2 linked regions of the Danio rerio genome follow. The protein of the gene in region 1 interacts with the protein of each later gene in a biochemical or structural test. Links are inferred from orthologs where the notes say so. Each region holds a gene or a part of one and is shown on either strand. Other genes may lie near its edges.

What was found.
Region 2: the proteins of eif4g1a (region 1) and eif4a1a form a complex in vitro, tested with the Homo sapiens proteins (3 studies listed by IntAct, with this or other methods). The link is inferred for Danio rerio from reciprocal best matches to the Homo sapiens genes EIF4G1 and EIF4A1.

Annotation. Positions count from the first base shown.
Region 1 is NC_133177.1:19,187,925-19,194,126, reverse strand, and holds part of eif4g1a (eukaryotic translation initiation factor 4 gamma 1a), read right to left. Parts: intron 4,718-6,202; coding exon 4,566-4,717; intron 4,487-4,565; coding exon 4,394-4,486; intron 4,312-4,393; coding exon 4,233-4,311; intron 2,403-4,232; coding exon 1,698-2,402; intron 1,613-1,697; coding exon 1,524-1,612; intron 1,366-1,523; coding exon 1,194-1,365; intron 1-1,193.
Region 2 is NC_133182.1:26,545,509-26,552,411, forward strand, and holds the start of eif4a1a (eukaryotic translation initiation factor 4A1A), read right to left. Parts: upstream 3,923-6,903; 5' UTR 3,881-3,922; coding exon 3,858-3,880; intron 2,514-3,857; coding exon 2,465-2,513; intron 2,036-2,464; coding exon 1,903-2,035; intron 1,607-1,902; coding exon 1,467-1,606; intron 1,151-1,466; coding exon 982-1,150; intron 857-981; coding exon 747-856; intron 1-746. Other genes in the region: senp3b (sentrin-specific protease 3b), read right to left, coding at 5,116-5,226. UniProt on the Homo sapiens protein: ATP-dependent RNA helicase which is a subunit of the eIF4F complex involved in cap recognition and is required for mRNA binding to ribosome.

The sequences.
Region 1 (6,202 bases):
CAAAGATGCGATCTGAGAGAATCGCCGATGAGTCAAATCATGCCGTACGTATTTGCACAACGTATTTGAGGACCGGCAGGGAGACACAATTTCCGGGAGATTATCATTCGTTTGCAGGCATTCGGTAGTCTCTGTGCATTTGCGGAAAACTCCCAGAACTTCCGGGAGACTTGGGATGTCTGGAATGACCTTCCACCCTACTCTTAATTCTCTCTTCGTATTGCCATATGCCTATTACATATCCATAAAACACTATGAAATTGCCGTGCTTGGATCATATCGCTTTCTTACTACAATCGATCCGCTCCAGAGTTCGTTTCAATCAAGCCGAGACCACCTCATTCAGGTGATCTCGGAGCGATTGTTTTGGCGCGGATCCGAGCGCAATTGCTGGATTTACATATGCCAAACGAACCATGCTAACTAGGCAATGGAGACAGGTTCCGAAATAAAAGTCTAGATGTGAAACCACCCTTAAACTACAACTTTGAGGGGGGGAAATGGTGGCAAAGTGTTTGCTTTGAACAATAACATTTTACTTAAAATGTGATTTTTTTTTTGTGAATACTGTGATGTTTCACATATGCATTTAACAGGTTAAGTATTGGCGCACAACATGACATGCAAAACAATGAATGTGCGTAGACGTAGTGTATCTCTTTACAAAACATATCACTGGCAAGCACACAATGCATAATTTGTAAATTATTAAATTAGTTTTAACGGGAATCTTTTTGACAGCAGTTGATTGTAAATGTAATTAATCAAAAACGAAATGAGTAAGCATGTAAATGTATTTTAAAGTCAAGTCTTGATACATAAAATATCAAGTTCTAAGTTAAGGTAGGTTAATGGTCATTTTTCACCCCTATTCTCACCAAATTATACCAAACTTTGTAATTAAAATTTGCTTGATTCAAATAATAAAGGTTTTGTCAGCTCCTAATTTACATGTTATTATCAATTCTAAAGGATCATATGATTGTGGAGAATAGAAAAAGGAAGCTGAAATTTTTCCTTTAGTTTAAAACATTGAAAGAAATTAATAAATAATATAAAACTTGACCAGTTTTACTGATCGGATAAAGACTTTATCAACGCAAAACAATGCTTTAAAATTCCCCCCTGAATTAAAGCGCTCCTATAAGAGGATGAGTGATCTTTAATGAAGCTTATTTAACTTTGCTTCTAACCTTCTTTATATTGATATTTCTGTTCCACAGGTTTAGATGCCTCTGGCTCAATATTTTCTGTGTCGAGCTTGTCCTCTTTTTCCTCCCATGTTTCATCTGTCTCTTCCACTGGTGGGGCTGGGGGCTCTTTCTGAACCACCTCTGGCTCAGGAGCTGGCTTCTCCTCCTCTGGCTGAAACGGGTACACAAGATTCTTAAATCAAGATGCACACACACAAAAAAAAAAAGAAAAAAAAAAGAAAGAAAATAAAAACGTAATAAAAAAATAAATAAAAAAAAAAATCACAAAAGGTGCTACTGTAAAAACAAATGTATAATGACAGCACAAACCTCCTTGAAGGCATCTAGAACATCTCCAACATCCTTCTTATTCAGATCCTTGATCTTCTTTTTCTTCTTTAGCACTATTGGGGAGGCAGCTAGGGAGACAGTAACTAGAGTCAAACTTGGAAAGGAGATAAACAAATAATATTCTTTACAATCCTAATTTAATAATTTACCAACCTTGCATAGTTGTTTCTTCAACAAGGCAGACTGGTGCAGGGGTGGGGGCCTCTTCCGCTTTCTCCTTTTCGGTTTCCTCCACAGATGCTTTAACAGCTGTAAGGCAGCTCTGCTGGTCCTGTGGAACCACTTGTTCAGCAACTGGATTAGCGGAGCTCTCTGGCTTTACATCTGGAACCTCTGCAGAGTCCTGGGGCAAACCGTTTAACAAAGGCTGTTCCTTTGGCTCATCGGCAGCCAGTTCTGGAACGGGCATCTCTGTGATTACAGGGGCACCATCACGATCTTCAGCTACATTAGGAGAAGACTCCACCGCACTGGAGGCGACAACAGCTGGACTTGAGGCTGCTGTAACTTCTGTTTCAGCCACAGGTTCATACTCTTTCTCCTCGGCTTCCTCTGGCTCCACAGGAGCACAGGGCTCCTTGGGCTCCTTCTGAGCAGAGGCTTCAGGGAGCACTGGAGCATCCACACTGTCTGCAATTTGAGGCTCTGAAGTTTGGGGATTGTTTGCAGGAGGAGGAGAAGGAGAGGGTACCACAAGATCCTCTTCTGGAGGACTGGGAATCTTGCTCTCTGGTGAAGCAGGTCTGACTTCTGACTCGGGTTTAGAGTCGATGGATGAAGGTGCTGGGGGCTCTGGTGTCTTACATGGAGGAGGGGTGGACGCAGATGCAGGACTTACCATGGCCTTCACTTCATCATCTGAAGATCAAGCAGAGTAAACATTATTAAAAATAAAAATAAATTCTCTAACCAAAATGGATGGTTGACAAAAATGAAAATGATAAAAATGACAAGCTGCAGAAATTTCTTAAATTATTACACTGATGTCTGGAATACTCAATTCTGATTGGTCAGTTGTGACATTCGAAGGTATATTATTCCCAGTTAACAACCGCTGAATAGCAGATGCTCATTTGGTAAACTTCAAAATCACCATGACCTGTGTTCACATCCATATATTAATATCCAAATTAAAGTGTTACATTATGTAACACCGCTGTTTTTGACTGTTTGGCCCCATCTTAAGAATGAATAATACATAGGTTGATCTATGCTCCATTTAACCAGTTTCATTTCTGCTTGGTGTTTGGTACCATCTTGTGACTGAACAATGTGCAAGTTAGTTCCATCAGCTCTAGTCAGCTGTTTTAGTTTCTGTCAGCTTTGCTTTAGTTAAATTAATAGACTGTTATGACTCAGAACAATGTTTTGTATCAAATGTTTTTGTTTTGGGGCAATAAGCGAAATAAAGTATGTCAGACTGTTGTTTTTGTCAAATTAAGCTCTTCAGTCTTCTACAATCAGTCTTATCTACTGTATCAGGCTGCTGCTAAGCCTGTTAGTAAAACTGCAGATTGATGGTAACATCTAAGCCCCACAGTAGTGACAATACACCACTGAAGTAAATCTTTGCCATTAATTGTACTTTTAGCAACATTTTTAAAATAAATACATTTAAAATAAGTGTTTAATAGAAAACAATGACACTTTTACAGGTTTAACTTTTTTAAATTGGTCTGGAACACAGTGAAAACTCCATCAACTCAAAAGTATGTTAACTCTGAAATGAGACTCTTGGTTTTCCGTTTTTAAATGGCAGGTTTGGCAAACTCAAGAAAGCAGGGTAAGCCAAGCCTGTTTCTGAAAGAGAACTTTTACTCAGACACATGAGTGCACATTTAAATCCATTTAAAAACTCAATTTTAGAAATTTTATCCTAAACTGATCAATGCGAGTAAAAGTGGGAATCTTAAATTAAACATTTCTGAACATCAAGTTTAGGTTATATGCATTCTTGTTTTGTCAAATTTGCAGTAGAAAATATGCAGTAGCCTATTTTATACGATTTAATGCAATTACGTCTGAAATTACTTTCAAATTACGGCCAACTCCCCACTTTAAGTGAAAAGTCAATAAACGTCACATTACATTATTAATTTTTTATTATTCTTCAATATTTAAATACTTTAAACGTAAACTTGCACAATAACTTAAATAGCTATGTTTTCCACACTCAGTCTCTGTTTCGCTGATACAGTGGTGTTGCTTTTTTTTTTTTTTTTTTTAAATATATGGTTGTATTTGTTGCATGAGCACATCAGGTTCAGCTGGAGAAAAATGCTGATCTCTTTTTTTTCAGATGTTGCCATGGTGACTCATTATCTACGCTCCATTGATAATACCTTTTTATAATTGCAGTGTGCACGCTTAACTCTGAATCAGTCTACTCAGACTTGATTGACCCAACTCCTATCCGCTTTTCTGAAACAGAACTCTTAAGTTTTTAATCTCTTAGTAAGTCAACTCAGTTTATAGATTTAAACTTCCAGTTGGTTCAACCTCCTTATTGAAACATTCCTTATTTTGAGGTTATTGATGCATACGCAAGTGGATAAATCCAATCTATCAGACATGGAAATCACATTTGAAACTTGCCACTTTTTTCAGGATGGAAAAACAGTTTTGGCAATAATGTACTTTTTTTGCTTGTTATTATTATTATTATTATTATTAAGAATGTATACTCACCAGTGCTGATCTCAGCAGGAAAAGTTGGAACGCTTTCACCATTGGTCTGAACTGGACTTCCCACTTCTGTACCAGCAGTCTGGAAAAACAAAACAAAACAATGAACTCATTGTAATATAAATGAGCATGGCATAATGAACAAAAGCATGAAAGTGTCAAACCTGTGGAGGAGTTGGTGTGGAAGTCGTTCTTCCACCAGACATTATCTCCTCTGTGATATCACGTCCACCCTGGTTGGGGTCACGTATCCTTATCTGTTAAGCGGCATCAGGTAAGTGACAAAAAAAAAAAAGTACTAAATCGAAAAACACAGCAAAAGTCGTTTCCACCCACCTGTTTGCGTTCTCTGGGTTTGACTGGCCCTGTCGGCTGTGGAGCAGCTTGCTGTGGAAGTGGAGCCTGTTGCTGCTGAGCAGGGTTCATCATCACAGGTGTAGGAGGCACTGGCGTTTGGTACTGCTGTGTTGCAGGGTAGTAGGCAGCTGCTAGACCACAAATAAGGCAAAAAAAAGACAAGATCAGACACCAAGATAAGACTTTTTGCTGTAATGGGAGGGGGACCCACATGCAAAGTACCCCCCTACCCTGTAAAATCACTTCCAGACTCCCTGAGGAAAACAAAGAAAAATCAATATTTCATTAACATAGCTTCTTTCTATTCATAATAAAAGGCTAATTCACCCAAAAACTGTAATAATCATCCTCAGGTTGTTTTATACACTCAAAACTCTAATTCATCCTTAATGCCACTCCATTGAAGGGTCCAGAAAGGTAGTAAAAATTGCGTTAAAAAATGCAGGCTCACAAGAGCATTTCTTGTACTACTTCCTCGATACAAGACAGCACCACCACGCATTCGTGCTTTGTTCACACTGGAGCTGAGGTACAGGTAGGGATGCAACGATATAGATTTTGGTTGTACGATTAGTCTGAGAAATAATCATGGTTATCATGATTATTATGCATTCATTCATTTCAAAGTAAAAAAAAAAAACTTAACATAAAAACTCCTCATATTTGAAAGAGTTATTTATTGCTGCTCAGTAACTAAATACAGCACAAAATAATAATAATAAAAAAACAATAGTCCCTAAAACTATTTCCCTTTTGACTTAGAAATATGTGAAAACTAATTTTTGGCATAAAGTAATAAATTAAGTAATAAAGTAATAAATTAAGTAATAAATTTACACTGAAAATAAATGACAGAACAATGAATAAATGAATAAAAATAAGAATAAATAATAAAAATAGTCTAATGCAGGGGTGTCCTAACTCAGAGCTAGTTTAGTTACAGCAGTTTGTTCCATGAAACGTGATGTTGAGAAGCCTTTATGATTATTAACCATGTCAAATTAAAGCACGGCATCTCTACATACAGGAAGTGATGTATTGTGTAATAACACAATTTGTGGCACTGTTGTGCACAAAGTAGAAGTTGTAAACGTCAAAAAATAGTTTCTTTTTTCACCTCATTGCTTCAGAAAATTATTTGAACCCTCCACTGTTTGGGCAAATAGGCTCATTTTGTAATCCTCTACAGTTAAATAGGTGATTTTTACCATTTTTGCTTCCAGTCAGTCAATCTCTGGGTCTGGTAATTATTAATATTATTAATATGATGAAAAGTGGAGTGCTCCTTTAAAGCTGAGGTATCTGAAGTCACAAGAACTGCTTAGAGGATGCTTTCACTTCGTTTCAGGAACACTGAAGTGGCAGTGTCATAGGCTGTGTCAATGGAGAGGAAGAAATCTAGCAGATCTTCAAATGTATATGGAACAACATGAGGGCAAGTAAAGACAGATTTGACATTTTGGGTGAACTAACTCTTCAATAACCATCATAAAAAGATAACCCGAAAAGTTTGCACCCAAAGGATGAAGTAGCATTACGTCACAGGTTACATGCGTCTGGTGGTGTTAAAACATAACCAGCCAAAGCTGAGATACAGACAAGAGGTGCAACACAAA
Region 2 (6,903 bases), on another chromosome or scaffold:
TGAAAAAAGGTAAGACCCTCTATTAGGTTCAGGCCTCAAAATAAATTGAGACCATAAAGATTAATAGTTGGACTGATCAAAGCAAAAAGCAGCCATATTCAAACCTTTAATAAGTATGTATGTATTTTTTTTTATTTAGTGCCATGTCAGCAACCAAGGCTATCTTCATGGCAGGAATCTTTCAACAATAAATATACAATTTAAAAATCAACAAACAAAATAAAACAAATTAAGATGTGTGTTAATACATGATAAAAATTCTAAAATCTTTTCTGGTTTCACTTTGTCAAAAATGTCCTTAAAAGAGTTCATTTCATAAAAAGTCTTTCTGGAATCAGTAAAAGCAGGACAGTCCAGTAAAATATGTTTTACAGTAAGAGGAGTTTTGCAGCACAAACACCGAGTAGGGTTTTCACCTTGGAGCAAAAAACCATGTGTTATTCTCGTATGCCCAATACGACATCTGGTAAAAACTACTTGATCAAATCGATTCTTAAAATGTCTTACAATTCTGTGTGAAACTTCAGGTTGGATTTCCTTTATGAAGTAAAAAGTAAAACAAATATTTTTTTTTAAATTTAATGTCAGCTGCTTAAATAGTTATGAACAGGGACTGAAGAGCCCAATCATAGTGGAGAGCAGTTACTTCACTCTACCAAAGAACTTGATACCCATCACAGCACAGAGCGCTGGCAGGTGAGGGAACTTTGGCGTGGATGCACACAAAATAATATAGACTTGTTTACCTGAGTGTCTGTGGCCAACTTCTGAAAAATTTCATAGATTTGGTCCTTGAAACCACGACTTAACATTTCATCTGCCTCATCCAGGGCAAACATCTTTATATATTTAGGAGCTGGAGGAGAGGTGAAAGAAAAAAAAAAACGCAAATTAGCCAATTAAATAGAATTAAAAAAAAAGAACAAAACTCAAATTCTAGAATTAGACTTGAAATCAAGATGAACCAAATCAAGTACTTACAGAGATATCTGCGGTTGAGCATGTCAAACACACGGCCAGGGGTTCCGACCACTATGTGGGGCACATCAGCTTGAAGCTTCTGAACATCATTACGAACATTGGTACCCCCAATGCAGGCATGGCAAGTTGCCCCCATGTAGTCTCCAAGAGCCAAGACCACCTTCTGAATCTGAGGAGAACAGAAGAGAGTTCTGCATCAGCTTGAGAGATCAATCCCATTTAACATTCATTGCATCTGAAACTAGCTGAGCTCATGAGTCAAGTTAAGACAAGTATGTGCCCATAGCATGAAACAGTCTTTTTCTCACTACGTTGAGCCGACTGGGATGAATATGGCCTTCATTTCCTCTGCCCCTAACAGATATAAGCTTTGTGCCACTGGCAGGCACAGCTTTGCCCAGATGATAGGGGACACGTGTATAAAACTGAAACATTTGCAAGACTTTATCTTGTGTCCCTAGTGTTGAATGTGAAATGGTTCGCACCTGTTGGGCCAGCTCTCTGGTAGGTGCCAGAACCATAGCTTGTGTGGCCTTCAGCTCCACATCAATCTGCTGCAGGATGGAGATGGCAAACGTGGCAGTCTTTCCTGTGCCGGACTGAGCCTGTGCAATGACATCATAACCTATAGAGAGAATATTAATTATTATTATTTGGTGTTTCACAGTCGGTTACTCACTAAAGCCTTCAAGGAGTATGCCGAGGCAGTTTGTGCCCATACCATGAAACAGTCTATGCCTCACTGTATTGAGATGACTGGGATGAATATGGGCTTTATTTCCTCTGCCCTTACCAGATATAGGTCAGAGTGTCACTGACAGACACAGCCTTGCCCAGATGATAAGGGCGTGAATAAACAAATATTTTCGTTCAAGTAAATATGCCAAGCAAATATAGATGGATAGTTACATTTCTACATACCCTTGATACAAGGGAGGATTGCCCTTTGCTGAATGGCGGAAGGTTTCTCAAAACCATAAGCATAGATTCCTCTGAGAAGTGCCTCTCGCAGGTTCATATCATCAAAACTATCAACAATCTCCTTCCAGTTGCTCTGTAAAATAAATGTGATTTATAGTTGATTATTATTAACACACGACAACTCATTTTTTGCACCTGAATATAAATAGCTTACAAGTAACTATTTTATTACTTTATTTCAGGGTTGCATAATGTTTTGTTGAGTATTCTATGATTTTTATTGCAAAAAAAAAAAAAAAAGATTTAAGTATATATGGACTTCTGTAGCCTCTATAAATTGTATAACCGCCTCGAAATAACATGAAGCCCTGATTTTACATTTAAATTTGTGGACAGATCAAAGATAAGGAATTCATGACCCACTATGTTTAGTTATATGTAATATCTGTATCTAATTACTACCTTTATTCTATAGTGATTCCTGCTATCCATAGACACAAAGACGTATACAATATTGTGGTTATAAATACTTTAGGTGAAATGGCTCTTAAGAGACACCAACCTCAATGACTCCATCTGGCTCCATCCCCTCCGGGCCATTGTCTCTGGGTCTGCAATAAGAGGTTGTAATTAGTACATTGACAACTCATTTCGCAAAATTAATTTCTCAGTGCCAAAATCTGAACATCTCCAAAGAACACATTAACTGAACTTTACTACTGCATAGAATGTATGTATATATATGTATATATATATATATATATATATATATATATATATAAACCCACCCCCCCCCCAAAAAAATTGCTCAGACTGTGAGGCATAGTCACAGTCAATCTCCATTCACTTTCATTGCGTCATTTCCCACATACTGAAAGTAACGGTGACGGAGACTGTCACTCCACCTAACATTACTTTTTATAAAAATGGGTCCGACAGGTTTGTTTTTCGATGTTCATTATTGTTTAGTTAAACTGAGACAGAACTTAAAGAAACTGATATAGCAACCTCTGAAATCTACGTTACCAAGAGGCAGCCATTTTCGCTCAGCGCCATTACCAACGTGGCTCCACCGAGACACATTCATTCGCATATTCAACATTAATCTATTACTACAACATCCAATCTTATAAAAAACGTCACGAAACAGCATAACCACGCAGATTGATATACCATTTAATTAACACGCATGTTTCTCGATTATGAAGTTACAGTATATCAAGTTACATATTAAACAACGACACCGCTTCGCTTCTTTTTAAATCCATAAAAATACCACCCTTTAAAGTTATAAAATTTTAATCTTAGAAAATAGTTGGTTTGAAATGGTTGAAAACAGGCCTTGACGTTAGGCCTAACGTTATACTCCCAGACCACACTCCATTGTCTCGCCCATGAAAGGCCATGTGCCATACATATCCTCTCGATTGAGGGCTTAAATCTGCCAACAAAGTCGGTTTTAATAATGGATGGCATCCGAAACAATGTTCTCGAGTAGAGTACATAACAATGAATGTTGAAAATGTCCGCAATCGGTTCAAAACGAGGGAAATGAAACGGCCATGTGCCGCATGGACGCGCCGGTCACACGATGTACTGAAGCAGCGCGTGAGACACGTTGCGTCACAAGAACCGGCATTTTAACGGAACATCGAAAATATGGCACCAATTCATCTTAAAACACTTTTTAGTTAACATCAATACGATATCCTAAAACAAAACGACAAAATCGCAGGAAACTGGATTAAAAACACACTTTTCTAAACGATTTTAACGAGGCGGGAACAGGGCGAGCACGAACATGCCAAATCGGCAAATAATGCTAGTTTTTAAACCGCTAATGAACAATCTTTTACTACAATACATCTTAAATCGATAAGAATTCCTAATTGTTTTCCATAAATAATCAATATTTTAACAGATAGAAAAAACATTCGTCGAACACGTTATCTTACCTATCTTCATGTTCAGACGACATTATTACAAAGGACTGTAGACTGGCGGAAACGCGCAAATACTTAAACCGTGACGATGTTCAAAGTCCATTGATTGGACGTCTTGCCGTTCAGTCAGCCTGTAGTCCCGCCCAGTAACAACTCTCATTGGTTAGTTAACGATTGGCACCGCCCTATCATAAGCGCCTATTCATAGACGTCACGAAATGGGGAAAAATCCTAACTGGAACTTAAAACAAATTTCAAAGGAAATGTGATGCTTAGAAAGATACTTTCTAAATGGTAAATACCTTTTTAAATGACGTAAACCAACTACACGTATAAAAAAATAGCACAAATTACAGGTTTTCGTCGAAAACATTTTGAGTCCATTTCTTTATAGAATATGCTAACGTAAATAACGTTAAATGACAATACGAAGACCTGTTTGTTTTTATGATGGGTTTAAATGGACATACATATTTGAGTACCTTTACTATTTATGTCACTCGCTGTTGAAATGTTTCAAAATGGTTCTGACAGCATTCAAATGTAAAATCTTACTGGGTCAAATGTAAAATGTTACTGGGTCAAATAATTTGCTGCTGACTTCAAGATAGTACAGGACAACCCTCCCTTATTGCCCAATGTCTTGTCTTCCTCTGCATAAATGTCGAAAGTGAGTCATTTATGATTCACAGCTGTTGTTCCCATTTAACAGTTCTTACAAATATGAAGGCTTAAAACAGCTTACTGGTATTACTTCCAGTTTAAGAAAGGATGAGCACAGTACAAAGTAAACAGTGTGGTGATTCAGTAACCCATCATAACAAATTGGGCTATTTAAGTGACAAAAAAAAGCATGTAATTCTTGATGAATGCATCAATTATTATTTTCGCATGATGATTTATTAAAAACAAAACGGCAGACATGATTTGTTACTTGCATTTTAGCACAGTTACTCTCATGCCAACATTTCTGATTAGGAGTTTTGCAACAACTTTATGCGCAGAACAAAAAAATGAAACCCAACACAGAATGTTTGACTCAGGCAGCAACACACAAGGGCCTGCCTGGCAGTCAACTGTTAATAACCTCCGGTGTCTCAGTCAAGGCGTTGGGCTCCAATACGAAACCAAACAGAAGAGTTATACAAAACAAAAACACAAGTGACTTGAGGATGAAATTTCCTCAGTGTGGAGTCTCTCAGGCTTTTTGGACAAATGTATCTTTTTTTGTTTTGTTTCCCTCACTGGCTGTGCAGTCTTGACACGAGTATCACAGTGAGAGTTTGCAATGACACAGTTCTTTGTACATCATTCTCCTCAGCTTGGGCATGTCCTGTTGACTGAAGCTGAAGGGCTGGCCTAATGCAAGACACTTGCAATACTAAAAAGAAGGTGGAGAAAATAAAGAGAAAAAGAAAGGGTGAATCTTCAATGTAGAACTGAAAAAAAGGCATCTCAACACTGTAGTTCTTTTCTTCAAACACTTTAAAGCAGGGGTGTCAAACTCAGTTCCTGGAGGGCCACAGCTCTGCACAGTTAAGTTTCAACCCTGCTCCAACACACTCACCTGTAGGTTTCAAACAAGCCTGAAGGACTCAATTAGTTTGATTAGGTGTGTTTAAATGGGGTTAGAACTAAACTTTGCAGAGCTGCAGCCCTCCAGGAACTGAGTTTGACATCTGTGCTTTAAAGCAGTGGTCACCAAACTTGTTCCTGGAGGTCCGGTGTCCTGCAGATTTTAGCTCCAACCCTAAATAAACACACCTGAACAAGCTAATCAAGGTCTTACTAGGTATACTTGAAACATCCAGGCAGGTGTGTTGAGGCAAGTTGGAGCTAAACCCTGCAGGGACACTGACCCTCCAGGACCGAGATTGGTGACCCCTGCTTTAAAGGGTTAGTTCACTCAAAAATTTAACATTCGTCAATAATAGGGTATATGCAGAGCTAGTGCTTCTTCCCATACTGATAAACATCCGGTGAACGGTTTTACAGCATCGATGTTGTAATGTAATTAAAATATAATCAGTTAAAAAGACTTTGTCATTCATTTAGTTGCTCAAGCGTAAAACGAGATGATTTACATGCACGCGCCCATCAGTATTAGCAGGCTAGCGCAGAAGCTCCATTGAATATACTGGGGTAAAATAAATGTTCATATTTTAAAGACATGGCAGGGAAAATGTAATTTAATGCAGTGCTTCTTGTACAATCTGAGACCCACTTTATAACAGATGTCAGTCAGGCAGTGGAGATCGCTGATTTTGAAAGTAAACACACCTCAAACGCGCCTATTTTGTAACTGAATACAGTTTACTGGAAACGATTGACCCAGGTAACTGACAAATTAAAAGTCCTTCCGAATACTTTCGCATCTACCCTATTATTCACCCTCATGTCAATCCAAACCCCAGAGACCTTTGTTCATCTTCAGACCACAAATTAAGATGAAGTTGAATTCTGAGAGCTCCCTCATTCTCAATAGACAGCAACGGTCAGGACTTACTCAAAGTCCAGAAAAATACCAAAACCATAAAAAAAATGTTTTTTAAATTACTATTTCGATTTTAGTTTTTATTTATGTGGAGATATTGTTTGGAATTGTTGTTTTGAGATCATAAGCAGAACGACCTACGAACTCTACAAGAGCGTTGAAGATGGCTTCTGCAAACTATCTTCAGTACACTTTATTTATTTGAATCTCTGACTTCGGCTCTTCTTCATCAACTGACTGGTAATTTTTTGGGCTAAAACTGTAGAATAAAGTCATTATTTCTGTTTTATGAGTGCAAAAAAGTATTCTTGTAGCTTGATAATATTCTGATTGAACAACTGAAGGTATAGACCAAAATGTTTGACACACACACGTAACCTACTGTACTGTCCCACTGACACACTTTATAAGTAAATAACTATAAAATATAAATATATATAAAATATAGAACTGAATTACGGTCACAAGTAAAAATAAAGTGGCGTTTTGAAATTACAGAAAACCACAAACCTTGGTAAATACTACACAACACAAACTAAGTAAATGCAACATAAACGGCTCCCG